7 linked regions of the Macaca fascicularis genome follow. The protein of the gene in region 5 interacts with the protein of the main gene of each other region in a pairwise test. Links are inferred from orthologs where the notes say so. Each region holds a gene or a part of one and is shown on either strand. Other genes may lie near its edges.

The links.
Region 1: the proteins of HOXA1 (region 5) and ADAMTSL4 interact in binary tests that used the Homo sapiens proteins (3 or more experiments, as listed by UniProt). The two-hybrid records come from large-scale screens. The link is inferred for Macaca fascicularis from reciprocal best matches to the Homo sapiens genes HOXA1 and ADAMTSL4.
Region 2: the proteins of HOXA1 (region 5) and EGFL7 interact in binary tests that used the Homo sapiens proteins (3 or more experiments, as listed by UniProt). The link is inferred for Macaca fascicularis from reciprocal best matches to the Homo sapiens genes HOXA1 and EGFL7.
Region 3: the proteins of HOXA1 (region 5) and FAM221A interact in binary tests that used the Homo sapiens proteins (3 or more experiments, as listed by UniProt). The link is inferred for Macaca fascicularis from reciprocal best matches to the Homo sapiens genes HOXA1 and FAM221A.
Region 4: the proteins of HOXA1 (region 5) and MGAT5B interact in a two-hybrid assay, tested with the Homo sapiens proteins (2 studies listed by BioGRID). The two-hybrid records come from large-scale screens. The link is inferred for Macaca fascicularis from reciprocal best matches to the Homo sapiens genes HOXA1 and MGAT5B.
Region 6: the proteins of HOXA1 (region 5) and TRIM42 interact in binary tests that used the Homo sapiens proteins (3 or more experiments, as listed by UniProt). The two-hybrid records come from large-scale screens. The link is inferred for Macaca fascicularis from reciprocal best matches to the Homo sapiens genes HOXA1 and TRIM42.
Region 7: the proteins of HOXA1 (region 5) and SPRY1 interact in binary tests that used the Homo sapiens proteins (3 or more experiments, as listed by UniProt). The two-hybrid records come from large-scale screens. The link is inferred for Macaca fascicularis from reciprocal best matches to the Homo sapiens genes HOXA1 and SPRY1.

The regions. Positions count from the first base shown.
Region 1 is NC_088375.1:110,694,268-110,697,767, forward strand, and holds part of ADAMTSL4 (ADAMTS-like protein 4), read right to left. Parts: intron 2,896-3,500; coding exon 2,691-2,895; intron 2,440-2,690; coding exon 2,267-2,439; intron 2,120-2,266; coding exon 2,008-2,119; intron 1,908-2,007; coding exon 1,722-1,907; intron 1,559-1,721; coding exon 1,429-1,558; intron 1,113-1,428; coding exon 908-1,112; intron 598-907; coding exon 421-597; intron 108-420; coding exon 1-107. UniProt on the Homo sapiens protein: Positive regulation of apoptosis. May facilitate FBN1 microfibril biogenesis.
Region 2 is NC_088389.1:2,680,368-2,683,828, reverse strand, and holds the end of EGFL7 (epidermal growth factor-like protein 7), read left to right. Parts: intron 1-213; coding exon 214-329; intron 330-525; coding exon 526-621; intron 622-780; coding exon 781-942; intron 943-1,554; coding exon 1,555-1,619; intron 1,620-2,221; coding exon 2,222-2,384; intron 2,385-2,556; coding exon 2,557-2,579; 3' UTR 2,580-2,961; downstream 2,962-3,461. UniProt on the Homo sapiens protein: Regulates vascular tubulogenesis in vivo. Inhibits platelet-derived growth factor (PDGF)-BB-induced smooth muscle cell migration and promotes endothelial cell adhesion to the extracellular matrix and angiogenesis.
Region 3 is NC_088377.1:106,595,011-106,598,996, forward strand, and holds the start of FAM221A (protein FAM221A), read right to left. Parts: upstream 2,801-3,986; 5' UTR 2,745-2,800; coding exon 2,680-2,744; intron 1-2,679.
Region 4 is NC_088390.1:83,314,170-83,317,669, reverse strand, and holds part of MGAT5B (alpha-1,6-mannosylglycoprotein 6-beta-N-acetylglucosaminyltransferase B), read right to left. Parts: intron 230-3,500; coding exon 82-229; intron 1-81. UniProt on the Homo sapiens protein: Glycosyltransferase that acts on alpha-linked mannose of N-glycans and O-mannosyl glycans.
Region 5 is NC_088377.1:103,176,087-103,180,321, forward strand, and holds the start of HOXA1 (homeobox protein Hox-A1), read left to right. Parts: upstream 1-1,435; 5' UTR 1,436-2,266; intron 2,267-2,388; exon of another isoform or gene 2,389-2,411; 5' UTR 2,412-2,482; coding exon 2,483-3,134; intron 3,135-3,595; coding exon 3,596-3,951; 3' UTR 3,952-4,235. UniProt on the Homo sapiens protein: Sequence-specific transcription factor. Regulates multiple developmental processes including brainstem, inner and outer ear, abducens nerve and cardiovascular development and morphogenesis as well as cognition and behavior.
Region 6 is NC_088376.1:43,541,331-43,544,830, reverse strand, and holds part of TRIM42 (tripartite motif-containing protein 42), read right to left. Parts: intron 353-3,500; coding exon 1-352.
Region 7 is NC_088379.1:128,449,869-128,452,125, forward strand, and holds part of SPRY1 (protein sprouty homolog 1), read left to right. Parts: exon of another isoform or gene 1-35; intron 36-1,803; 5' UTR 1,804-1,858; coding exon 1,859-2,257. UniProt on the Homo sapiens protein: Inhibits fibroblast growth factor (FGF)-induced retinal lens fiber differentiation, probably by inhibiting FGF-mediated phosphorylation of ERK1/2. Inhibits TGFB-induced epithelial-to-mesenchymal transition in lens epithelial cells.

The sequences.
Region 1 (3,500 bases), on a different chromosome or scaffold from region 5:
TGCCCAGTTCCTGCTCCTGCTTCTCCCTGTCCTGGCCCGAGGGCTGCCCCACTCCCAAGGCAGACCACAGAGCGCCGCTGGATTCCCGTCCCACACTCGGCTGAGCACTGCGGAGGAGGAGAGCGGCCTGCGTGAGGGGCCTGCTGGTGACTGGCACAAGGGACAGGAGAGGGGGCAGGGAGGGATGCATCCTGGGTCCGAATCCTGGGCGGTAGGGAACGTCCCCAGGTACCAGGCCTGGACGGGGAATCCTAACTGGGCCCCTCATGGAAGTTGTTCTCACTTACCTCTGAGTTCCCAGCGTCAAGCATATAGCAGGCACTTGATCAATACAAGTTTATTGAGCTGTGCTGGAAAGGCTGAGGTGTCCTGGGCATGGTCACCCAGGATGCAGGACATGGCTGGGGGTTCGGGGCTCACCTTGGAGTTCCAGTCGCTGTGGAACCAGGCGGTAGTACAGGGCCCCATGTCACAGGCCTCTCTGCTGGGGGGCTGCGGGGGGCCTGACGCGCACTCCTGCTCACTCACTTCATCACCATTGTTCCCAACACAGCGAACCTGCCGGCTTCTCTGGCCCCGGCCGCACCGCACGGAGCACTGAGGGGGCGAGGGGAATCCAGGGAGCTGGGCTTCTCAGCCAGCCTCCAGCTCTAGGGCTTCAGAACCAGGCTCTGCCTTCGATCCCCAGCCCAGCAGTCACATGGTTTCATGGGCTGAGGAGGAGGCTGAGCCCTAGGGCCCCGGGCCCCCAATCCCTGATTCAGTCCCTTATCTGACTTCTATATTGGGGGTCCATATGAAACCCTGTTTGTAAATAGTTTCTGCTGATGAAAAAGAAGTTGAAAAACCGCTGCTCTTGTTCACCGGTGCCCATCCCCTCCCCGGCACCTTGCCCGGGCGCACTCACCTGGCTCCAAGGAGAGCCAACTTCCCAATGGCCACAGAGGCGCAGCTGGCAAGACTGGGTGATGTTGGGCCGGGGGAGATGTCCACAGCGCTCGGGGGGCACCGAGGAGCCACCCCCCCCAAACTCCTGCCGGCATTGCAGCTGGCGGTGCTGGGTGCCAGGGCCACAGGAGCGGCTGCAGGATGTCCACTCACCAGCCTCCCAGCTGCAGGCACCAGCAGGGCACGGAAGAGATGGAGACACAGATGAGATATGTGGGGCTGCCATGGCAGGGGAGATGGAAGACACATTGGACATGGGGGCCTCAGAGGAGAGTGGGCACGTTTGGCATTTGGAGTCTGGGTTCCTGGGGGGCTCAGCCTGCCATGGCTTTCTTGCTGCCTACCGAATGTCCGCCTTTCTAATCTAATGTTGTCTCTCTGCAGCCAGGAGATGTCGCGTTGAGTGCAGAATTCAGGTAAGATTCTGGGGGCAACTGCTGTGTTTCCAGTACCCTAACCCTCCCCGTGGGCCATACTCACTATGGGGGGCACGGGGCGCCGTGGCAGGGTTCAGGGGAGGCTGGGGGCCTGGCACCCGCGGCACAGCTGCGTTCATCCAGTTCCTCTCCCGACTCACGAGAGATGCAGAGGAAAATGGGGCGCCAGACACCTGAGTGGGTGAGAAGGCAGCCAGGGAGGCAGGAGGCTGGAGCCCAAGCTCAGTGGTGTCCCAGATGCAGGGTCGGGCGTGGCCCCACTATCCCGGATGCAGGATCAGGAGTGTCAGTTGGGGGGCTTGGACTGAGGTGCTGGTCCAAGGTGCAATGTCTCACCTTTCCCACAGGACGCTGAGCATGCGGAGTGTCCCACTCGTTTCCAGTACGCAGCTGGAGACCCCAGGGGTGTCCTGGGATGGGGCGGGGCGGGCATCTGGGGGATCCGCACCTGGCGCTGGAGAGTGCCTGGGGTCCGGGCTGGGCGGGGCACTACAGCGAGTGGGGGCTCCACCCTCAGAATCTCTGTGCAGGGGAGCAGGTGAATCAGATGCCACCCCACTGCCCCAGAGCCACCCCTGCAGCTTCTCCCTCCTCCTTCCAAGTGCAGGGGTCAGAGTCTTACCTGGCTGAAGCTGGGGGACAGCGGGCTCTGAGGTGGGGTTCTCAAGGATTGGAGGAGATGAAGAGATGACATACTGATAAAATACGCCTGGGTTTTCCTCCTGAAAGATCATCTGGGGAGAAGAGAAGATAATGAATGTTTGGGGGTGGCCAGAGGGGGATGCCACCAGCTCTATCTCCCATCTTGACAACCACAGCTCTGCCCTTAGAGAGAACAGCCTCCCTCCCCAGGATCCAGCTGCCCCTGGCCCCAGGCTCACATAGACATCCACAGGCTGGGTGGTGGGGCCTTCAGCCGACAGACTCTCCCCTTTGCCCTCCTCCCTGGGAGGACGGTTATATCGAAAGACGGTCCCGCCGGCCCTGTAGGACCCAGGGGGATCCACAGCCCAGTTCCCATTGATGATGGACCGGCCCCCAGGGCCACGAAGTGCTGCAGGTCAGAGGTGAGAGATTGGGAAATTCCAGGGTGATAATACTTTCCTCCTCCCACACTGTGTCCTCAGCCTATAGAAGCTCCCACCAGAACCTAAGAGCCCCCCAAGCCCTCTCAGCTTCCTCACACCTTCCACAAGGGGAGGGGCCAGACCCTGGACTTCCCCGTTTGGCTTGCTCACTGCACTGAGTGGGGGTATGGAGGGCTGAACAGACATGGAAGTGAAAGGGAGGCAGCTGGGTGCTCACCCAGGTAGTTGGAGCTAGGCCGGAGCTGGGCAATCTGGAGCCGCGAGGCTCCCGCTGGAATCCACAAGATCTTCTGATAGCCCAGGGGGCCCCCTCGGTCAGTGAGGTTCCCCGAAACAAGGCGACAGGTAGAATCATCACCCCCACAGACTCCACAGCCATCAGGACGCCTGCCAGAGCCAAGGATCCCATCACAGCCGGGGCTCTGGAGAGAGTGAGGTGAGGCAGCGGCCACAGAATGCCAGACACCACCTCAACCCCACCCCTGTCCCCTCGGGAGCCTCAGCTCACTACCCTGCTTTTTGTGCTACAAGTGAGAGCACAAAAGCAGCCCCACCGTCCCCAGTCAGACCCAGGGACACGGACAGGTGCCCGATCAGATCCTTCAGGCTCTGCTCAGCCCAGCTTGGCAGGTTAGAATTCTCCCTTGGTTATCTCAGTATAGTGTTTTGTTGTTGAATTAATTAATGAGACTGTAGGCCGGGCCCGGTGGCTCAAGCCTGTAATCCCAGCACTTTGGGAGGCCAAGACGGGCGGATCACGAGGTCAGGAGTTCGAGACCATACTGGCTAACACGGTGAAACCCCGTCTCTACTAAAAAATACAAAAAACTAGCCGGGCGAGGTGGTGGGCGCCTGTAGTCCCGGCTACTCGGGAGGCTGAGGCAGGAGAATGGCGTAAACCCGGGAGGCGGAGCTTGCAGTGAGCTGAGATCCGGCCACTGCACTCCACCCTGGGCGACATAGCGAGACTCCGTCTCAAAAAAAAAAAAAATTAATGAGACTGTGCAAATACGTGTGTGTGCATGTG
Region 2 (3,461 bases), on a different chromosome or scaffold from region 5:
GGCCTTCCTGCTGTGGCTTGAGTCCCGGCCAGCACCGGAAGTCCCAGGCAGGGAAACGGCTGTGCAATGACCCCTCAGTGCCATCCCTTGGGGAGAAGACCCCTGGGGACACGCTGGGGTGACTCTGTCCACTCTGAGAGGGGACTCTAGCTGCCCAGTGGGTGGCTAAGGGGGAGTAGGATGCTCCTCTGAGCTGTCCCGCCCACCCCACAGAACCATCTATAGGACCGCCTACCGCCGCAGCCCCGGGCTGGCCCCCGCCAGGCCTCGGTACGCATGCTGCCCCGGCTGGAAGAGGACCAGCGGGCTTCCCGGGGCCTGTGGAGCAGGTGAGGGCTATGCCCCTCGGTGCCTGGTGTTAGTCAGAAGGGCAGCTATTCCCCAGTCTTCCAGCAATGCTCCTGCTGCTTTTCTCAAACCCGGAACAAAGCACCACCTTGCCACAGAGCACCCACTCCCTAGCAGCTGCCCCCACAGGGTGCTGGGGACCCAACTGAGCTGGTGACCAGCCTCCCCTACCCACAGCAATATGCCAGCCGCCGTGCCGGAACGGAGGGAGCTGCATCCAGCCTGGCCGCTGCCGCTGCCCTGCAGGATGGCAGGGTGACACCTGCCAGTCAGGTGAGGCTGGCTCCACCCTGGGGGACCCTGGAAGGGGCCTGGGCACCTCCTTGCATGTCCTGGGGTTACTGCTGGCCCATGAGTGAGTGATTGTGAAGGGAGCTATGTCGGCAGGACCCCTCCCACAGGCATGGCCGCCTGACACCCCATTTCCCACAGATGTGGACGAATGCAGTGCTGGGGGGGCCGGCTGTCCCCAGCGCTGCGTCAACACCGCCGGCAGTTACTGGTGCCAGTGTTGGGAGGGGCACAGCCTGTCTGCAGATGGTACACACTGCGTGTCCAAGGGAGGGCCCCCCAGGGTGGCCCCCAACCTAACAGGTAAACTCAGCCCTGGCTGGGCCTGGCCTGGGGAGGTGGGCAGCCAGTGGACATTGCCATGTGGCTGTGTGTTAGGCACGGTGAGGGGCACTGGAACCTGGGTGGAAGGTGGTGGGGGCTCCCTCTCCAGGGAGGGAAGACGGGGCGGGAGGACAGGTGGGTTCCTGAGAACTGGGGGCAGGTTGCCTGGAGCCTCACGGTCAGCCAAGAAGGCGGAAGTGCCCGTCTGCGTGCAGTGCAGCATTCTGGAAGACGCCACGCCCCCGCTGGTGATGGGACATTATTACTTTTGGTACGCGCTGTGACACTTCAAACTCGTACCGTGAGTAATAATGCGCTGTCCACAGCACCGCATCGAAAGCGCCGCTGACACCACAGCTCCGACCTCCCTCAGCGTGGCCGGGACCCTGAGCAGCTGCGCAGAGCCATGCGCCCCGATGTACTTAGGTGGCACAGCCCTGAGACCTCTGGCCAGCGCCAGGCAGGCGTCGGGGCCGGCAGAGGCCTGGATCTGAGTCTTTGGGCTCTGCCTCTCCCTGGGGAAATGAGGGAGCCTGGGGGTGTGGGTGGGGAGCCGGCCGACCCTGACCCAGCGCCTGGCTCTGCCCCCAGGAGTGGACAGTGCGATGAAGGAGGAAGTGCAGAGGCTGCAGTCCAGGGTGGACCTGCTGGAGCAGGTGAGGCCTGGGGTGGGGCAGGTCCTCGCGACAGCGGAAGCCCAGGCCAGGATATAGGCTCCATAGTCTCCTGAGACATGGTCGCGACCCACAGATGGCTGGGGGTGGTCTGAAAAGGTCCTGGCCCTGGGGAGGCAGCTTCCTTGCTGCTGACTGCCGAGGGGGCCCTGGCCTGGATCCATACTGGGCAGAGGCAGCCAGACACTGACCAGGACCCCCAGGGCTGGAGGAACCAAGCGTGACAGCCCCCTAGACCATACACACAGCCTGGACCCAGACAAGACCCCCCACCCCCCACCACCTTTATCCCCACCAGGACAAAGAGCTCTTGCCAGTCTTCCCACTGGCCAGTGGTCCAGCTGTTCCCCTAGTTCTGCCGGGGACCCCAAGGCTGGGACCACCCGGCCAGCCTGATGCCCCAGGCACCCACTCTGCCGCAGGCTCTTCTGGCACAGCAGCCCCCTCTAGTGGACACCTGGAGCCCTGCTGCAGGGGCTGGGGCTGGAGGCTTGTGGAGCCCTTCCCCGGGGGGTCCCCCCTAGACCCTGGTGGAGCAGAGAGGGCGGGGCCGGCCCGGAGTCACCACCCTTCTGCACCCGCAGAAGCTGCAGCTGGTGCTGGCCCCACTGCACAGCCTGGCCTCGCAGGCACTGGAGCACGGGCTCCCGGACCCCGGCAGCCTCCTGGTGCACTCCTTCCAGCAGCTGGGCCGTATCGACTCCCTGAGTGAGCAGATCTCCTTCCTGGAGGAGCAGCTGGGGTCCTGTGAGTGCCCCCCACCCTCCAGAGCCCTCCTCCCGGGTCTGCGCCCAGTTGGCCTAGAGGGGCTACCCAGGCTTGGGGGTCGGGGGTGACCAAAGGCCAAGGGGTCAGATCTGGCTGGGCGGGGAGGCTATGGGGAGCAGTGACCTCTGACCTTAGCCTCATCCAACCCTAGGCTCCTGCAAGAAAGACTCGTGACCGCCCCGGCGCCCCAGGCTGCACTGAGCCCTTCACCCTGCCGTGCAGCCCCCATGCCCCTGGGCGACATGCTGGGGGTCGACACCACTTTGGTGTCTCAGTGGAAGGCCAGGCAGGGCCCTCTTGCTCTTCCTCCTCCCCTTCCTCAGGAGGCTCCCAGGGCTCTGGTGTGGGGTGGGCTGTGGTCTTCTGTGTCAATCCACCCCTAGCCAGCCCAACGGCATCCCAAGGCCAGGTGGGCCCTCAGCCAAGGGAAGGTACGAGCTCACGGACTCTCTGCTGGAGACTGGGACCCGTGGCACAGGCCAGGCAGCCCGGAGGCTGGGTGGGGCTTCAGTGGGGGCTGCTGCCTGACCCCCAGCAGAATAAAAATGAAATGTGAGCTGCTGTGTCAGTGGATGGACTCGGGGCCTGGGGGGAGGGCTCTCACCTCCTGGCCACCCCACCCAGACCCGCTGCCGGGTGCCGGCTGGCAAAGGGGGCCAAGTGGAGCTGGGAGTAGGGTGGGGAGGGCACTCCAAGGGAGAGGGGCTGGGCAGGTGGTTTCTTTGAGGCCACAGAGAGCTTTGTCCTGGGGATGTGTTGGCCCCAACCAGAGGCCAAAAAGCAAATCTCTGGCCTCCTTCCCAGTAGCCTGAGGATCCTGGCACACCTGCCCCAATTAGGCGACACCCCCCACCCACCGATGGAAATATTAGAGGGTGATGTGGGCCCACCCCTGGAAAGAGAACACGGGTGGGTGGCGGTGCCTCCACCCCAGGCTCTTAGGGAGAGCAGCTGGGAAGACACAGCATGGGCTCTACCATCCTGGTCACCCTGCCTGCCCTGTGAGTGACCACAGCTGTCCAGCCACTTCCAAGAGTGTGTTTATAAAAAAACAGC
Region 3 (3,986 bases), about 3.4 Mb from region 5:
TACACACTTGGTTCAGCAAAAGCTCAAACTACATTTGTGTATTAGGTAATCAGGTTTATCATTGTTTAATTTCAGAAGTAAGAACCCAAAATTTTATGGGAAAATATTAAGCCCCCACTATTTCTATGAAACGAAATTAAGAATTGGCCTCCCTGGAGGAAAAGAAAGCACACCTAAAAGAAGTTTTTCCAAAACTGAAGACATTTCTCCCTGAAAATACTCCCCTTGAAAAGTCACAAAAAGTGATATTTGTAGAATGCTACATGCTTTTTTCCATACTTTGAAGCCTTTAGCTGAGGTAGAAAATAAAAACCATTGCTCTATGTGCTTGCCATTAAAAAAAAAAGGAAAACCAATGTATAAGCTATGAAATAATCAAAACTATCTTCTTTACACAGACAATCTAGATACATAATAGCAAAGAAACAAAGGGCATTTATTTCTGAGTTAAATTTTGGGCCATTTCAGTTTCTTGTACCTATTAAGAATACCAACAGGTATTAAGATCTTAAGATAAATACGGATCTTTAAAAGATCTTTTAAAAGTAAGATGTCATTGGTATTTAAGTACTAAACCAGTGCAACTCAAATTTTATTGTACTTACAGAATCCCCAGGGGATCTTGTTCAAATGCAGATTAAAACTCACAGCACAGTGGCTCACACCTGTAATCCCAGCACTTTGGGAGGCTGAAGCAGGCGGATCACTTTAGGTCAGGAGTTCGAGACCAGCCTGGCCAATATAGCAAAACCCCGTCTCTACCAATAATGAAAAAATTAGCGGGGCGTGGTGGTGGGCGCCTATAATCCCAACTACTCTGGAAACTGAGGCACTGAGAATTGCTTGAACCATGGAGGCAGAGGTTACAGTGAGCTGAGATAGCGCCACTGCACTCCAGACTGGGCAGCAGAGCAAGACTCTATCTAAAATATATATATATATATATTTATATACCTGTATATAAATGTATAAATATATATGTGTATATATGTTACTCCCACAGTGTGAGTAACAAGCCTGCATGCTTCCCCTCCCAACTGACTCCCACCAAAGCACCTAGACAAGACCAAATCCAGGAAAACTCTTAGGAAGGAAAGTTTGTTTCCTTCTAAACTCATATTTTGACTCATCTTCCCACCCCACCTTCCCAGCCCACCTTTTCACATCTAGGCACTCAAGTCCTGTTTTCCCCACTTTTCTAAAATCCTGACGTCAGTAAAGGACCTAATAATCTCTTTCAGAGGGAAATGTTTCAAGTTATTTATGATTGCAAAAATAATTTCCCAGCTGGGCACGGTGGCTCAGGCCTGTAATCCCAACACTTTAGGATGCCAAGGCGGGCGGAGCCCAGGAGTTCAAGACCAGCCTGGGCAACATGGTGAAATCCCGTCTCTACAGAAAATACAAAAATCAACTGGGCTCCTGTAGTCCCAGCTACTCGGGAGGCTGAGGCAGGAGAATCACTTGAACCCAGGAGGTGGAGATTGCGGTGAGCCGAGATCGCGCCACTGCACTCCAGCCTGGGCAAGAGTCAGACCCTGTCTCAATAAAATAAATAAATACATAATTTCCCACCAGGTCTGCCCTAACATGTTCGGAGCTAGGCAAGAATTAACTGGAGGCCCACAATTCACATATCTAAATATCCAAGTTATCAGTCAACACCAGCTCCAGCAACTTGCTCCCAGGCAATAGCTCTGGAGAACTGGAGGCTCAAGGAGCCGGCTCTGCTCTGCGCGACGACTGGATGGTGGTTGTTCTGACCCTGAACCGGGCGTGGGAACTGACCCCATCAAGCTCCTAGCCCTTATTCTTCTAGCTCAGAATCTCCAGGCAGTTCTAAGGGTTACCGAAAACTACACCAACGGGGCAGTCGGAGCGCGGGAGAGCAGTCAGCTGGGGGGCCGTCTGCGCGCACACCTCTGGGTCATGTGGGTCGCCAACGATGCCGCCGAGGAGGCCCTGTCGCTCGCTCCGGCCTCCCTGGCCGAGCCTGGAGCGTCTCCCCTCTGCTTGTACACACACATCCTCCAGCCCCAACTCCGCGTCCTCTGGCGGCCCTCTCCAGGACTTCCCATCCGCCCAGATTCCGGACGATCAAAACCCCCAGGAAGCGGAAAAAGAGCGCGTCGCTGCAGGTGCACCAGCCTCGGTCAGGACCCAGGACAATTAGCCGGGTCCTCAGGCCAAAGGAGCGCCTACGTTTCCAGTTTCGGAAGGGGTTTCTCCAGAACACCAAAACACCAGTCGGTGCCTTTCTCCTAAAACCAGCACCTCGGGGTGGGGAGTGCGTTCAGAAGTTCACGGTTGACCCTATTACTGGGTTAATTTGATGCATGCTAACTTCTATAGCCTCTAGTACTCGATGTGAATGTTTTCAATGGCCATTTAAAAAACAGTTGGACCTCTGTATCAACTAGAGTTAGCCATCCTTCTTGGAAGGGAGCAGAGGGACCTCTTAAATGGCATCGGAAGACTCATCATTGCATAGAACTGCGTGGCCCTACAATATTTAATTAGGCAAAGACGAAACTGGAATTAATCTAGGCCTCCCCCAACAACCCAGGCAAAGATTCAGGGAACCCCCGCGGACACCCGCCGGGCCCCTGCCCTCGCCCTCAGCCCAGGGATCGTGGCCCCTCGGAGCGGCGAAGGGCCGGCCCGGAGCCACAGCCTCACCTCCTATACTCCAGGTACTCGTCCACTGCCGCCGCGCCGCGGGGAGGCAACGTCAGCCGCTCCATGGCCGGTGGGGAAGCCAAAGGCGCCCTCCCTGCTGGCCCGCCGACCGCGAAGCCCCACCCGGCCCCGCCCCCTCCAGGCGCTGCGCCCCGTCCGCCCGCCTCCTGATTGGCCGGGCCTGAAGCCCAAGGAGGCCGCGCGTGGCAACTGCGCAGGACGCGCGCCCCTACCTGGCAGCTGGCGCCAGGCACCAGAACCCCGGGCTCCGCAAGCTCAGCCCCGCGCCACGCATAGTGCAGTTCGCCGCCCTCCATAAACCTTGCCTCGATCCCCTCTCCCTTTCCCTGGACCGACAAGTCTTCTTGTAAATTAACAAGTGACAAGGGAGTGCAGTGCCTTGCCTATAACAGGCGCATAGAAAATAGCTTATTTATTTGTACAGTTCTTTTCGCTTAATCCATCTCTTGAAATATAAGTGGGTTTGAGAAGGTTCTGCTTTAGTTTGAGGCCCGCCTCTCCTTAACTGTCGACCTGTTTCTAGTATTGGCGTTTTCAAAAACTCTGATGTAACAATCAGTAGTCCTGGGTATCTGGGTTCACTTTGGGGGCTGCTAAAGCAGCATATTCTTCAAAGGAACCGAACAACTGATTTAAGGTGAAGCATGTAAAAACAATTTAGGTAAAGATTTGTTTGTTTTTTTTAACTTTTGGAAACACTGCAAAACATATTTAGAAGCTGAATCACCATGCGATTGGTAATTTGGCCATAATTTGACTTAGCACATTGTGGAAAAGAATAGAAATCGTCAGGCGGAGTCATTAAACTCTGAAGCTCCCAGGGGATCAGCTTTAGCGCCCTCTGTAAATTATCTGGGAGGGAGAATATGCAAACAATAAGAAAAATAATTAAACTTCGGTACAGTACTTTATTTTCAAAGTACTTTTCTACATATTTCAGGTCCAAAAAACATTATGTAAACAAATTGTTTGGGTACCACCCCCCTCCCTTCTCGGTGCCCTTTCAACAAACCCCACCCTCTCCCCAAAGTCCTGCTCCTGTTCAGAGGCGTTCTTGACAGTCACATGAATGAATGATCCTGAAATCGGATTCATATTTTAGGAGGCTGATCTCAACTTAGTATTCTCTCCTATCACACCTGTGGTTTGCTGCTGTCCATTATACCTCTTCCCCCCGACACCCTCCAGATGGGGTCTTACTCTTTCGCCAAGGCTGGAGTGCAGTGGCTGGATCTCGACTCACTGAAGACTCTGCCTCCTAGGTTCAAGCAGTTCTCCTGCCTCAG
Region 4 (3,500 bases), on a different chromosome or scaffold from region 5:
AGATGATGGACAGCATGCCGGGCAGAGTGGCAGGTGCCACCGCTCCCCTGCTCCGCATGCCTCCTCCCCGCGTCCCCTCACCTGTCTGCGGGAAAATGCAGGTCGCCGCCAGCCCGGTGCAGCTCACTGACGTTCTCCAGCCTGGCCAGTGCGTCCATGCGCTTCACCATCAGCTCCAGCAGGTCGCTCATCTTGCGCAGGACGCCACGGGACTCAGGGCCCCCCATCACTGTGGGCAGAGTGTGGGTATGGTTAGGGGAGGCCCGAGCAGCCTGGAGGCCACCTGAGGCCACCTGGTGTCCAGGCTGGGGCAGCTCAGACAAAGCTGGCCCCAAAGCCCCCCAGCACCAACACCAGACCCCAGCCTCAGCCCTATCTTCCCAGTCATTCCTGACCCCTTTGCTGCATTGTTTTGCGGTACAGAGAACAGCATCGTGGTGGAGTGAGCCCTGGGCAGCCCTGTCTCCACCAGCCATGTGACATTGGGATCATTTCCTAAGCCCACTGGGCCTCAGTTTTGTCAACTGTAAAATGGAGCTTTAGATGTAATCTTTGAGGTGTCCTGGGGCCCAACAACCCTCATATCTGTGAGATGGCAGAAAAGGCCCAGCACTGGGACAGAAGCCCCAGAGCCCCCAAACAGCAAGCTCCAGGCAGGACTTTTAGATCAGGGTTCCTAGAAGTGTGGCCAATCACCCAGCAGCATCTGGATCTTCTAGGCAGGCTGTTAAAATTCAGATTTCTGGGCCTTGGTCTAGATTTGCCAATTCAACTGTCTAGGGTCCGGGCCCCAGGAATCTGCACTTTCCTTGCTCCCCATAGATCTGGACATGCAGGGAAGTTGGGAGCCTGTGTTCAGGGGCCCAGGGCCCTGTTGCTTCCCCAGCCCTCCTTCTCCTGCCCAGCCCCTGGGCCCTAACCCCATCTCTTCCCCATCCCTCTTCCCTGGACCCTCCTGTAGGAAACCATAATGCATGAGTTCTGAATCTCAAACTGGTCTTTGGGTTCCCAAAGATCAACTGACGAGAGCAGGTTCCCTGGGGCTGAAGCGCCTGCTCTTCCCTCTGCTCCCAGCCTGGGCAGGGGAGACCTTGTGAAGAAGAAAATTAAATGAAAATGAGGCACTTCGACCAAGATCCCATCAGCCAGCCTGCAATCCTCCACGGCTTCCTTTCTAATCATTCCCGATCATTAGCACTGCACGTGCCAGTGTGCAGGAGCAAGCTCTCGCCTTCCTTTTTAATTAAATCTGAAGGCTTCACATTGGCCCTCCACACAGTCCATAGGGTGCTGGGCTCCAGGCACTAAAATCCCCAACTCAGCTCCTCCCAAACCCCTATGGGTTGGGTTTGAAATCACTCCCCAAAAATGAGCCAGGTCACCTGGGGACACGAACCTTTGACGCTCAGGCTGCCAGTCCAGGGGCCCAGTGGAGGATGTCATGGGTTGGGCTCCCCAGAAGCAGAGCCTGGGACAAGGGTTTGAGGGTGAGTAGTTTAAACGGGAGCTAATGGAAACCTCGGCAGGAGAGTGAGGAAGAGAGACGGGGAAGCTGGGGAAGCTGGGAAAGCTGCATTGCCGAGAATGTTACCACCAGGGCGCCCAAGCTCAGCCCTGCCAGGGAGCCCAAGACCAAGTAGAACACACTGCAGTCACCCCACCTGGGGAGGGCAAGGGGACTGGGGCCTCTGCCCGCTGACCCCCGTGTGACCGGGGCAGTCACTGAATGGCTCTGAGCTTCAGCATCCCCGTCTCAAGGCAAGAATAACAGGCCCCATCTGCAGACCAACATCACAGCACCAGGAAGGTGACAAGAGAGAGGTCACTGAGAAGAGGCAGAGCAGGGAGAGGAGAGAAGGAACTAGAGGCTGTGGGCTGAGCAGGGGCAGCCGGCAGCCTCCGCATCACCGGGGCTGCTGTTACATTTCTGCTTTGCTTCTGCCCTTCTTCCCTGGCTCCGGCCGGCCCAGCCACTGCTGCCGCGTTCCCACCCTGATATAAGTCACCCCCTGGTGGGGCTCCCCTGCCAGGTGACCCCACCTGAGGTCAGAAGGGAGGCCACAGGAGCTGGGGAGGGGCCACTCACACACCGTGGAAATGCCAGCCAGGCTAGGGCTGCAAAACAGGAGAAGCTGTGATTTCCTTAAAGACACAGGGCTCGTGGCTCCGAAGAACAGGCATGAATGGGAGCAGGGGGGTTGTGGGGGGCAGAAGAAAAGAAGGAGAGAGAGGCAGAGATGCCCAGGAAGGCTCACGGATGGGGTCGGGCATTGGAGAAAATGGGCATATTTCCTCCCCACCCCAAGAGCTGAAGCAGCAAAGGACCCCCCCCTCCACAAGTCCCTCTACGGAAAACAGAGTGGATTTTCAAACACTCAGCTGGGACCGGGAAATTTCACACTAGCATTAAATGACACTAACTCAGGTCCCTCCAGCCTCTCAGGCCCTCCCCACGCACTCACACACTCAATCGGTTAATCTGGGCAGCTCTGGTGAGCCATTGCTCATAGCTTGGGCTGCAGTAGTCCTTCTCCAAAGTAGTGGGATAAAAACAGTATATAGATGGCTCGCTCTCTCTTTGAGCTTCCCAGAGTTGGGGGCAATGGTTTACTTTTTCAGATCACTCTCATTTCAGAGATGCCTGCCCAAGCCCACCCTCCAAATTCAATACCGAGCTTGCAACCAGTGCTTGTAGCACAGAGTAAATGAAGAGATTCCCATCATTTCAGCTAAAAACACTGGAGGACTCAGATGACCTGCCTGGCCACTGCTTTCCACAAGTCCACGGGGCACCACTGGTACTGTGACCGCTTGAAGGGTATCATGGAGTCGTGCAGTACACAGCCTGCCTGGCCTCACTGGGCAGCCCTGGTGGGCGGTTGCTCACAGCTCAGGCTGGAGGGTCCTTTCCCCAAAGGACTAAGATGGAAAAAGGAGTAACAGACCACAGCCGGGACACCGTAGTGGTGCTGTGGCCAGAGCACTCAGGCCTGACTGACCACAGAGCCTGGTCAGCAGCTCGCTCCTGCAGATGCAGCACCCCACGAGTGCTGAGCCCACAATATGGCTTTTGGGGTGATGCTGTGTTCCCTGGAGTGCCTCAGGCCTGGCACCCTGTCTGCTGCTCTACCGGTCCCACTCTCCAAGCCCACCCCAAGCTTCCTCTGCTCCTGCCCATCGCCTGAGCCCCTCCCAGAAACCTCACGGTCACAGCTCCCCACCCACACCCCACGCTCCCAGCCCCATTGCACAGGCTGAAAAACAGCTGATGGGCCAAAAACTATGAGGTCTGGCCTAGAGCTGCAGGGCCCCTGAGAGTCGACAAAACAGAGGCTGCAGCAGCAGCAGCATGGTGGCATGGGCCCGGTCAAGAGGGGTGCGGCAGAAGCCTGGACTCCAGGCCTGCTCTGCCACGGACCAGATAGGTGGGCAGGTCACCGTCCTTCTCTTGGCCTCAATTTACTCTCATGTAAAACGAGGGGGCTGGGCTCATTGAGCTC
Region 5 (4,235 bases):
ACCCAGGATACCCCCGAAAAGAGGCCAGGAGAGAAGAGAGGCTGAGGGAGAGCAGCGCCGAAGCAGCGAACTAGCAAAGGGAGAGTGGCTCCTGCCGGGGTCGGCTTTGTGGCAGGCGCCCTGCAGCCGAGGGGGTCCTGCAAACCCAGGCTGAGGAGGGCAACCAAGGTACAGGAATGAGGCAGCGGGGGAAAATGTACTGACTTGCTCAGGCTTGGAGGAAGGATTGCTCTCATAGCCAGCACCGACCTCCTCACATCCTGCCCACTCCCCCACAGGAGCTCTTTCTCTCCCTGCCGCTGGAAGCTGGCGCTCCCAAGGAAGCCACCTCCAGGAGGACCGCCTTGCCTTTCCCCTTCTCCAGAAGGATGATTCCCAGGAGCCGAAACTGGGGCAGGGGTGGCTGCCCAACCCCAGGAAGCGGCTCTTTCCTGCCCCTGCTCCCTCTTAACCATGCTTGGAATGGATCAAAGTCACAGAGAAATACCAACCTGAAAGGAAATGTTTGGGGAGAATGTTTCATTGTTACTGAGGGAGTCCAGAGTCAGCATGGGTTTTCCCTCTTGAGGGGACAGGTTTGGGGGAGCTTCAGTAGGTGGAGAACAGAATACAGAAGACTGAAAGGGTGACTAACATATTTGAAATGTGCCTGCCTTGAAAAAAAAACCTTCCTTGTTCTAACAGGGGAGGAAAGGCTGAAGGGGAGTGGAAACCCCAAACCCACATACATTCCTCACTATAAATTCCATCTGATTCCAACATTGTACACATGGTTGGAGTAAAATTTATACAGCATTGGCTGCAAAGCTTCCTGGACGAGCTCTCGATTTCTCCTACCCAAGACTGCATCAATTATTGGTCTCCGTTTGGCTTTTTCCTCTCTACAAGCCCAGGGTTGACGTGAAACCTAATAGTAAACAACAATTAACGACCTCAGCAGCGTCAGGGTAGAAGGAGGGTGATGGGGAACAGGACCCTTGGCCTGGGATGACGCTCAGATTTTCACGTGTCCCTCTAAGGAAAGACTTGAAGGTTCTCATAAGCAACTACCCAGCCAGTTGGAAAGGGGAGGAGGTGTCGTTGGGGTAAAGTGTTCTGTCCACCATCAGCCATCTGTCCACCGCTCCTCCCACCTGCCAGTCCCCGCACCCACTCTAGACGCGCAGCAGAATGAGGAAGGTTACAAAAGGAAGCTCTCTCTCTCTTCTAACATTCCCCTCCAGAAAAAGAGGAACGCAACGAAGGGAGTTCAGCTACTTTGTTGGAGCTGTGGACCGGCCCTGCGAGGCCCACGCGGGAGCGGAGGCTCCTGGGTCTCGGGCGCCGGCAGATGGCCTGCAGCGCACGGCCCGGCCCCCACGCTGGCCACGTCCGCCAGCGTCATCTCTCTCCCCCGCCTCCTACCCCTAAAAATCCGGCGGTCGAGTAGCTCCGCATCCCGGAGGGCTCCCGCTGCAAAACTGAGTGGGAAAGAAACGGCGGAGAGCGAGGAGAGAGGGAGGGTGGGGAAGAAGAGCCCGGTCGCCCCCGGCCTTTTCCGGCAATCCCTGTTTCCAGGGCTCTTCCGCACCCCCCCTTCCCCGGTCGAATTACAGAAACTCCTCATTGCCATGCTAATGAAGAGCGGGGGCTGTGGGGAGAGGGTTTCGGAGACTCTCCTGGAAGAAGGGAAGTTTCTTTTCTTGCCCTCGTCTCCTTCACCCCCACCCGAGTTCCTCCCAGCCAGCCCTCTGCGCTCTTCCCTCTCCATTCCGCGCTTGGAGAGCCGGTGGCCCAGCCTCGCCCCCTGCCACGGTTCTGTGCGCTCCTCACAGCCCCATGGTCTCCCAGCCCAGCCTCAGAGCAGAGAAGGCGGCCTGGGAACCCGGGGCTCGGTGTCAGCCGGATTCCCCGCCTTCCGGTTGGGTGCGCTCCGGGCTGGGCCCGCGAACCTGCGGCCACCCGGCGAACTCCGGCCCACTAACTCGCGCCCCGAGAGAGCCGGGAGCCCTCTTCCCTTCTCACCTCTCGCCAGTTCATCTTTCAGTGCACAGTGGGGAGGGGGCGGGAGCGGGGGACGCCTCTCAGCCCCCACCTCCCGGAGGCCTGGCGGGGCGGGCAGCGGAGTCGGGCGCGCGCAGAAGGCAGCCTTTGCTCTTCTTCGCTCCAGCACTCCAAATCGGCCGTTGCAGTCGCCGCAGCAGCTGCCGCCGCCTGGGCTGCCTGGGGGGGCGACTGCACGTCACCTAGACGGCGGAGCGCCGGGGATTTAAATGCCACTGAAACGGTGATCCATCACCGCGGAAGCCGGCAAACTTTTGCAGGAGGCTCAGCCATTGGCTGACACCGTCACGTGCCCCTCCCCTAGCGTCCTCCGCCCTCCCGCCCCCCCCCTCTTGCGCACTGTACATTCATATCATTTTTCTTCTCAGGCCCCATGGAGGAAGTGAGAAAGTTGGCACGGTCACCCAGGGCTTCGCAGGACCAGGTCACTCAGTGACAGATGGACAATGCAAGAATGAACTCCTTCCTGGAATACCCCATCCTTAGCAGTGGCGACTCGGGGACCTGCTCAGCCCAAGCCTACCCCTCGGACCATGGGATTACAACTTTCCAGTCGTGCGCGGTCAGTACCAACAGCTGCGGCGGCGACGACCGCTTCCTAGTGGGCAGGGGGGTGCAGATCGGTTCGCCTCACCACCACCACCACCACCACCATCACCACCCCCCGCCGGCTACCTACCAGACTTCCGGGAACCTGGGGGTGTCCTACTCCCACTCGAGTTGTGGTCCAAGCTATGGCTCACAGAACTTCAGTGCGCCTTACAGCCCCTACGCGTTAAACCAGGAAGCAGACGTAAGTGGTGGGTACCCCCAGTGCGCTCCCGCTGTTTACTCTGGAAATCTCTCATCTCCCATGGTACAGCATCACCACCACCACCAGCGTTATGCCGGGGGCGCGGTGGGCTCGCCTCAGTACATTCACCACTCATATGGACAAGAGCACCAGAGCCTGGCCCTGGCTACGTATAATAACTCCTTGTCCCCTCTCCACGCCAGCCACCAAGAAGCCTGTCGCTCCCCTGCATCGGAGACATCTTCTCCAGCGCAGACTTTTGACTGGATGAAAGTCAAAAGAAACCCTCCCAAAACAGGTCAGTCCTGCTGGTTGGTGGATGCTCCTTGATTAATCTGGAAGGAGCTGGTATGCTTAATTTCCAAGGAAAATTAATAATTATCTTTTTTTTTAAAGGCTTTAAGACTAGTGTTGTAGTGCATGGAGAGGGTACCCAGAGGTGTTGGGGCAAAGAAGCCTCAGGGATTGGCGTGTTCTCAAGGATTTTATACATTTGGGAAGTAGGAAGTGTGTGGGGGTGGTTATTGTGACGGTAGTGTTCTGTTAATATCTTAAGGCTCCATTAATCACCGATCTGACCACGCTAATGGTTGACTTCAGGTTAACACTTTACACCTCATCACTCACCCTCCACAGCCCGATTTGTGTTGAGTTCTTGATCTTTTCTTTACCTGAGTGTTGCCATGAAGTGTGTAGGTAATCTCAAGTCGGTTTAAAAATTTTTACCTTTCCATCTCATGGCTTCCCACTTTGCCCCAGGGAAAGTTGGAGAGTATGGCTACCTGGGTCAACCCAACGCGGTGCGCACCAACTTCACTACCAAGCAGCTCACGGAGCTGGAGAAGGAGTTCCACTTCAACAAGTACCTGACGCGTGCCCGCAGGGTGGAGATCGCTGCATCCCTGCAGCTTAACGAGACCCAAGTGAAGATCTGGTTCCAGAACCGCCGAATGAAGCAAAAGAAACGTGAGAAGGAGGGTCTCTTGCCCATCTCTCCAGCCACCCCGCCAGGAAACGACGAGAAGGCTGAGGAATCCTCAGAGAAGTCCAGCTCTTCGCCCTGCGTTCCTTCCCCGGGGTCTTCTACCTCAGACACTCTGACTACCTCACACTAAGGCGGCTCCAGTCCCAGACCACAGCCCAGGCATCTCCTTGGGCTGGGACTTCTTACCCAAAGCACATGCTTAGCTTATCTTTCTTTCCATTTACAGTCTCTTCCTTTCTGATCCTATCTGGGGAGCTCCTGGCCAGGATAATATGTTTGCAGATAATTCTGGACCAGAGACTTGGTGCCGGGTTAACACCTTAATCCAGATTGGGTGCCAGCACACATTTTCTGGTGGGCCTTAACATCCCTCCTGATTTTAGGAGAATTCACAGAACCTACTGTTCCTTTCAG
Region 6 (3,500 bases), on a different chromosome or scaffold from region 5:
TCAGGCCTGTAGGTGGTCTGGATGCCATCCTCAATCTGGTCCACCAGGATCTTGGCCGACTGCAGGAATGCCACCTGGCCAGTCTCCTTCAGGGCTTCCTTGGAGTAGGCGATCAGACCATCCATCTCGTTCACTTTCATGGTTGTAACATACACATATTTTTCAATTTCCTTCTGCCTGGACACTTCTAGATTCTCTATCTGCTCCATGATGATCTTCTCTTTCTCCTGAAGAATGCTGCGCAACTTGAGAAAGCCATTTCTGATCTCTTTTCGCTTTGCCTCCTTGTCAGCTTTAAAGCTGTTTTTTAAGATGTTGAATTCCATTAGGTCATTATCAATTTCATATCGGACTGCAAAAATGCCAAGTTAGTTACTTTTAAAATTTTCATCTCCCCAGGTGTCAAAGCCAGTAGCAAGCTAGAACAAATTACCCTAGGCTCCAAGGAGGTGAATGAAGAGGGAGGGAAGGCACTTGTAGTTGGGCTGAAACAGGCTAGAATAGGTTTATGAAATGAATTTGGCCTCCTTAGTACACCTTCCCCTTCTTCTCCCTCTGATCCTTCCCTGGGATATTTCTATCTTGTAACAGTAATCCCTATGGCCTTGGGTCTGAGACTGGAAGTTCAAGCCCACCCTTGATATTGGTTTTTACCAGATTTCAATTGTCTGCAAGTTGGACTTGAGAAGAGGTGAAGTCACAAAGTGACTGGTGCCTGCTTTTCCCTGTCGGAAACCTAAGCTTTTGCAATGGTGAGAGGAAGAACTAAGTTTCTGCTGACTACTTCTAAAGGTTGTCTTGCATCATTCGCTAAGCCTCCAGCCCTATACAACAGTGGGAAATTAGCAAAGCTTCCCTTCATTGAGGTGGCTCTCTTACATGCCCTTTCCCCCCTTTGTTTGTCTTGTGGTTCAGCTATGTCACTTCTCTTTGCCTTTCCCCCACTGCTTTCAAAAAAGAGTCTGCTGTCACACTTCAAGGAAAACCAGTTTATCTTGTGCCCCTCATATGGCATTTGGATTTTAAGTTCACTCAGTCATTCAACAAACATTTACTGGAGTCCTGTTACATGCCATGTATCTTTTAGGCACTAAGGATATGGATGTGATTATGAGAGGGCATCTGTGCTCAAGTTATGAATAAATCCAAAGATACTATAATTGAAGGATGCTATAGCAGGGTGAGCATGTGGCACATCTCTATCTGTGAAATGGGCTTTATGTGAAAGGTGAAATGAATACCTTTGTTAGCTTTAGAGGATTTGAGGCATTAAGGAGCAATTTGAAGAGTATCAACCTTCTGTGGCCGTTAGAAGAATGTCAATCTTCTACAGATAAGATTCTTCTCATGAAGGTAAACTCTTCAGTGAATTGATGGGCAATAATCCTCACCAAATTTTACTCAGAAGTAGGGATGACTAGCTATTTTTGGACTTGGTTCATAACACTATCCTGGTTCATAGGAAGCTGGACTTCTGTGAGTGGTGGTCATTATAACAAGGGTGTGCACTTGAGTATGGGAAACCCTAGAGTTCTGTCAGATCATGCGAACAGGGACCACATTACCACTATGACTATGGTGTGTAGAGGTGAGCAAATGTATTTGTTGAGTAAAAGCCATTCTTTCCTGTCTTCTAACATCTCATTGGTGAATGCCAGCAGTGTCACTCTCTGGCTAACTCCCTGAAGCCCCACTGTTTTCTTGCCATCTCCTTTCTCACAGTGGCTCAGAAAAGATGAGGTGATGCAGGTGAGACTGAAAGGGAAACTACTAGTGTGCGATTTCAGTGCTGAGAAGTGCTTCTTGCCCTCCCCAATGCACTGTGACTATGGCAGCCAGAATTCTACTTTGTGCATTATTTTCTTTGACTATTCAATAGTTACCTACTGTTAAAGATACTTGGATAGGAAATTTCTTCCTGTATGAGGGATTAATTAGGCTTATGTAGGGCAAAGTCCTGAGAAGCAGGATAAAAATTTCTTAGATGAGGGGAAAAAGGCATCTCCAGGAGGAGAAAAAAGACAGAGGAAGCCAGAAATGTCCCATCCCAAACTTCTACAAATATGAAAGCTCTGCAAGAGCTGATTTTAAACGAAGTCAAATCAAGCTCTCTTTTTAGGTAATACACTTAAAATTAGTTGCTATTTATTAAACACTTTTTATGGACCAGATCCATATGTTATTATATATCACATATATCTTCTTATAAGGAAGATATTGTTTCCACTTACAGATGAAAAAGCTTGAGGCCCAGGGAAGTGAAGTGACTACACAGTGTTACACATCAGGTAAATGGGAGAAACTAGGCTCTGTCCCTAATTCTATTTGTCTAGCTCCAAACTAGGTTCTTAATCGCTTCAGCTGTGGCTCTCAGCCCTCTGTGAGCACCAGATTAACCTGAAAGAGTGTTAAAAAAAACCTCTTCCCTTGGACTCATCTACTAAGATTCTGAATCAATGGGCCTGTATTGGGGCTCAGGAAGCCAGGCAAGGCAGTGTGCAGTGAGGTGTAGAATCTAACCCAGGGAATCTCCTGGGATCATGTTAAAGATGCAGATTCTGGTGCACTAGGCCTGGGGTGGGTCCTGAGATTCTGCATTGCTAACAAGCTCTCAGGTGATGCCGATGCTACTGGTCCTCGAACCACACTTTGAGTGGCAGGGACCTAAACTTTTGAGCTCCCTTTATTCCAGTGGTTCTCAACCTTGCCTGCACCATAGAATCACATGAGGAGTTTTTTAAAAGTCCGTCTTGCTGAGCCTGCACCTCTGTGTGGATGGGACAGGGGCATCAGTTTTTAGTAAAGCTTCTAAAATGGATCTTCTCTCTAGGTCCCCAAGTTTCTCAATGTGTATTCCCAGATCACTTGCTTTTGAATAACACGGAGATCTGTTTAGAATGCCAATTTATGGTACCTCCCAGAAAAGTGAATCAAGTGCTCACGAACAAGTTTGAACCCTGGTTAAAAAAATGTTGTGTGTCTGTTTCTTTCTTCGTCAAGGATGAAAGGTTAAATTATTTACTTATAGCTAATATCTAATTTACCTATTATCCCTTTTTCCCTTTCCAACTGCTGGGTTCCTTGGAATTTGGACAGGCATTTTCCCCCCACCTAGAATTGAGCTTTGTTGTCTGACTTTTAGGTGCCCTGGACTCAGAAAACTATCGTAAGTTTCACATGTATTAAGGACAAGGTTCCCTACAGAGGGATGGAAGGCACAGTAGGCTGTAGAGAGCAGCACCCTTGCCATGCTTGGCCAAAGAATTCAGACAAGCCCTGGCCTAGGGAAGCAGTGAGTCCCACCTTCAGAAAACCCTTTTGGAACCAACAGTTCTACCATTTTCTTGATAATATGTGGCTCCTGCAGGGTTCCTTTAATATGAAGTATTCCCTGGTGGTGGTTCCAGAATTAAATAAATGTCAATTGACAAGCAATGTTTCCAGGTATGTGGCAATTGAGAAAACTCGAGGTATTCCTGAAGCTGCTGAGAAGTCAGGGG
Region 7 (2,257 bases), on a different chromosome or scaffold from region 5:
TGATACTTGGGATGGTGATGGGATTGTCCGCAAAGGTATTCTACTACCATTCGAGTTTTCTTGGGGAAGGCAGTGTGCCGAGCGCGTGTGAGCGTGTTTGGGGCTTGTCCAAGACTGTCACTGCTTGAAAATGGGCTTTTCTTCGAATCAGAGGTGGCGAATTTTCTTTGCTTTTCATTTTTTGTCTGGTAACTTCATTTCTCAACCAGTATGAAGTTTGTTACAACTGTCATTGGAAATGCAAATTAAAGTTGTGCCTGGTGTTTTGAGTTACACTATTCAAATCCTCTACGGTTTTGCGTTTCGTGTGGAATCTGGCTTAGTACTTGTAGCTACCTTTTGCTTTCAAAGCACTGATTTAAGAAGTTCTTGAAGAAGAGGAATAATTGTTCAGGAGTCAGGATTAGATGTTGAGGACTCCAAGACCAAATCTCCGCAGGTTATGAATGTGTTACTCCTCCTGCGCAAAGAAGGTAGAATAAAGTAGAAACTTGAGAGAGCTGAGTTGTGAAAACGAGGGGGGAGCTCCAAGAAGTTAACATAGAAGGCATAGTTTAGAGACATTAGTTTAGGAAATATACGAAATGGACTTCTTTCTGCTTTCTGCATGGTTTATTCCTTAAACCATGTTTTTTTGCCTCAGGTTGGTAGTGGAGAATGGACATTTCTTTTTCTTTTCATTCTTGAATTGGGTCGACTCTATAGACTTTAGAAGGAATTTGTGTGAAAAATGCTCTAGTTCACCACTGAAAGCAGAAACTTTTATCTTTGGTAGTTTGTGAAGAACACATTATAAATTAGAAATTTACTATGAGTATGGAAACACAACTGCTTATTTGTATCTGGATATTAGTGTGCTGATTTTGTTATAAGAAGCACATTGAATCAGTTGGCAGTGCTTTTGAAAATCAAGGTCTGTCATGTAAATACAGATTTTTAAATTAGAGGAAATACAGATAATTAAAACGGCCAGGATTTAAATACACTGCGTATGTACCTACACTACACTTATTTGTGCATAAAACTTGTTTTGTGAGTGAGCCCTTCAGCTTAAAAAAAAAATCCTCTCAGGATTTCAAATGTGAGTACTGTTACATCGTTCACTGGACTATACATTGAGTCTTGTGTGTGTGTGTTTGTAGCTACGAAACACCAAGAACCGTTGTGTACCTGATACATTTATTTTTGCATCTCATAGATGAATAATAAGGTAGTTTTAAAATTCTGATTTATACAGAAAGTTACCTTTTATTTTGCGATTTCATTTTAGAGTCTTAATTTTTTTTAATGCCTTTATTTTTTTCATCATTAATCTAATGCTTATAACAGCACACAACAAAAAGGCTGTAGCACCAAAGCCATTCTCAGTTTCTTAAAAGGTAGACATTCTCCTTTATGGAAACCACCTATGAACTGGTAACTGAGCTTTCTTTAGATGAGAGTTATTCTCCTGCTTATACTCAATATTCCCTGCGAAGGCATGCTCCATTTTGATTGTTAGATTCACAAACAGGAAGGCATTACTTCCTCTTGATTCTGCTTCTTAAAAGTTGGAAAAACTTGTAATGTTTATGGCATGGGGTCTCTTGTTTACAATCTTCCTCTATGATGTGGTCCCCAGCCTCTCCTGGAATTGGACTCTGGCCAGGACCCCAGCATCATTGTAATCCACTGATGAAGGAGGTCATTATTAGGTGGTTTAGTCAATTTGTGACTTGACAGGATTTCCCTCCCCCCACCCCCGCAAAAAATGCTTCCTGTCATTTATTTTCTCTGTTTTTTTCATCTTTGATTTCCTTTTAGGATTTCAGATGCATGCCAGGTTTCCACTGATTGCCAGAACTCAAGATCACTACACATGGATCCCCAAAATCAACATGGCAGTGGCAGTTCGTTAGTTGTGATCCAGCAACCTTCTTTGGATAGCCGTCAGAGATTAGACTATGAGAGAGAGATTCAGCCTGCTGCTATTTTGTCATTAGACCAGATCAAGGCCATAAGAGGCAGCAATGAATACACAGAAGGGCCTTCAGTGGTGAAAAGACCTGCTCCTCGGACAGCACCAAGACAAGAAAAGCATGAGAGGACTCATGAAATCATACCAATTAATGTGAATAATAACTACGAGCACAGACACACAAGCCACCTGGGACATGCAGTACTCCCCAATAATGCCAGGGGCCCCATTTTGAGCAGATCAACCAGCACGGGCAGTGCAGCCAGCTCTGGGAGCAACAGCAGTGCCTCATCTGAACAG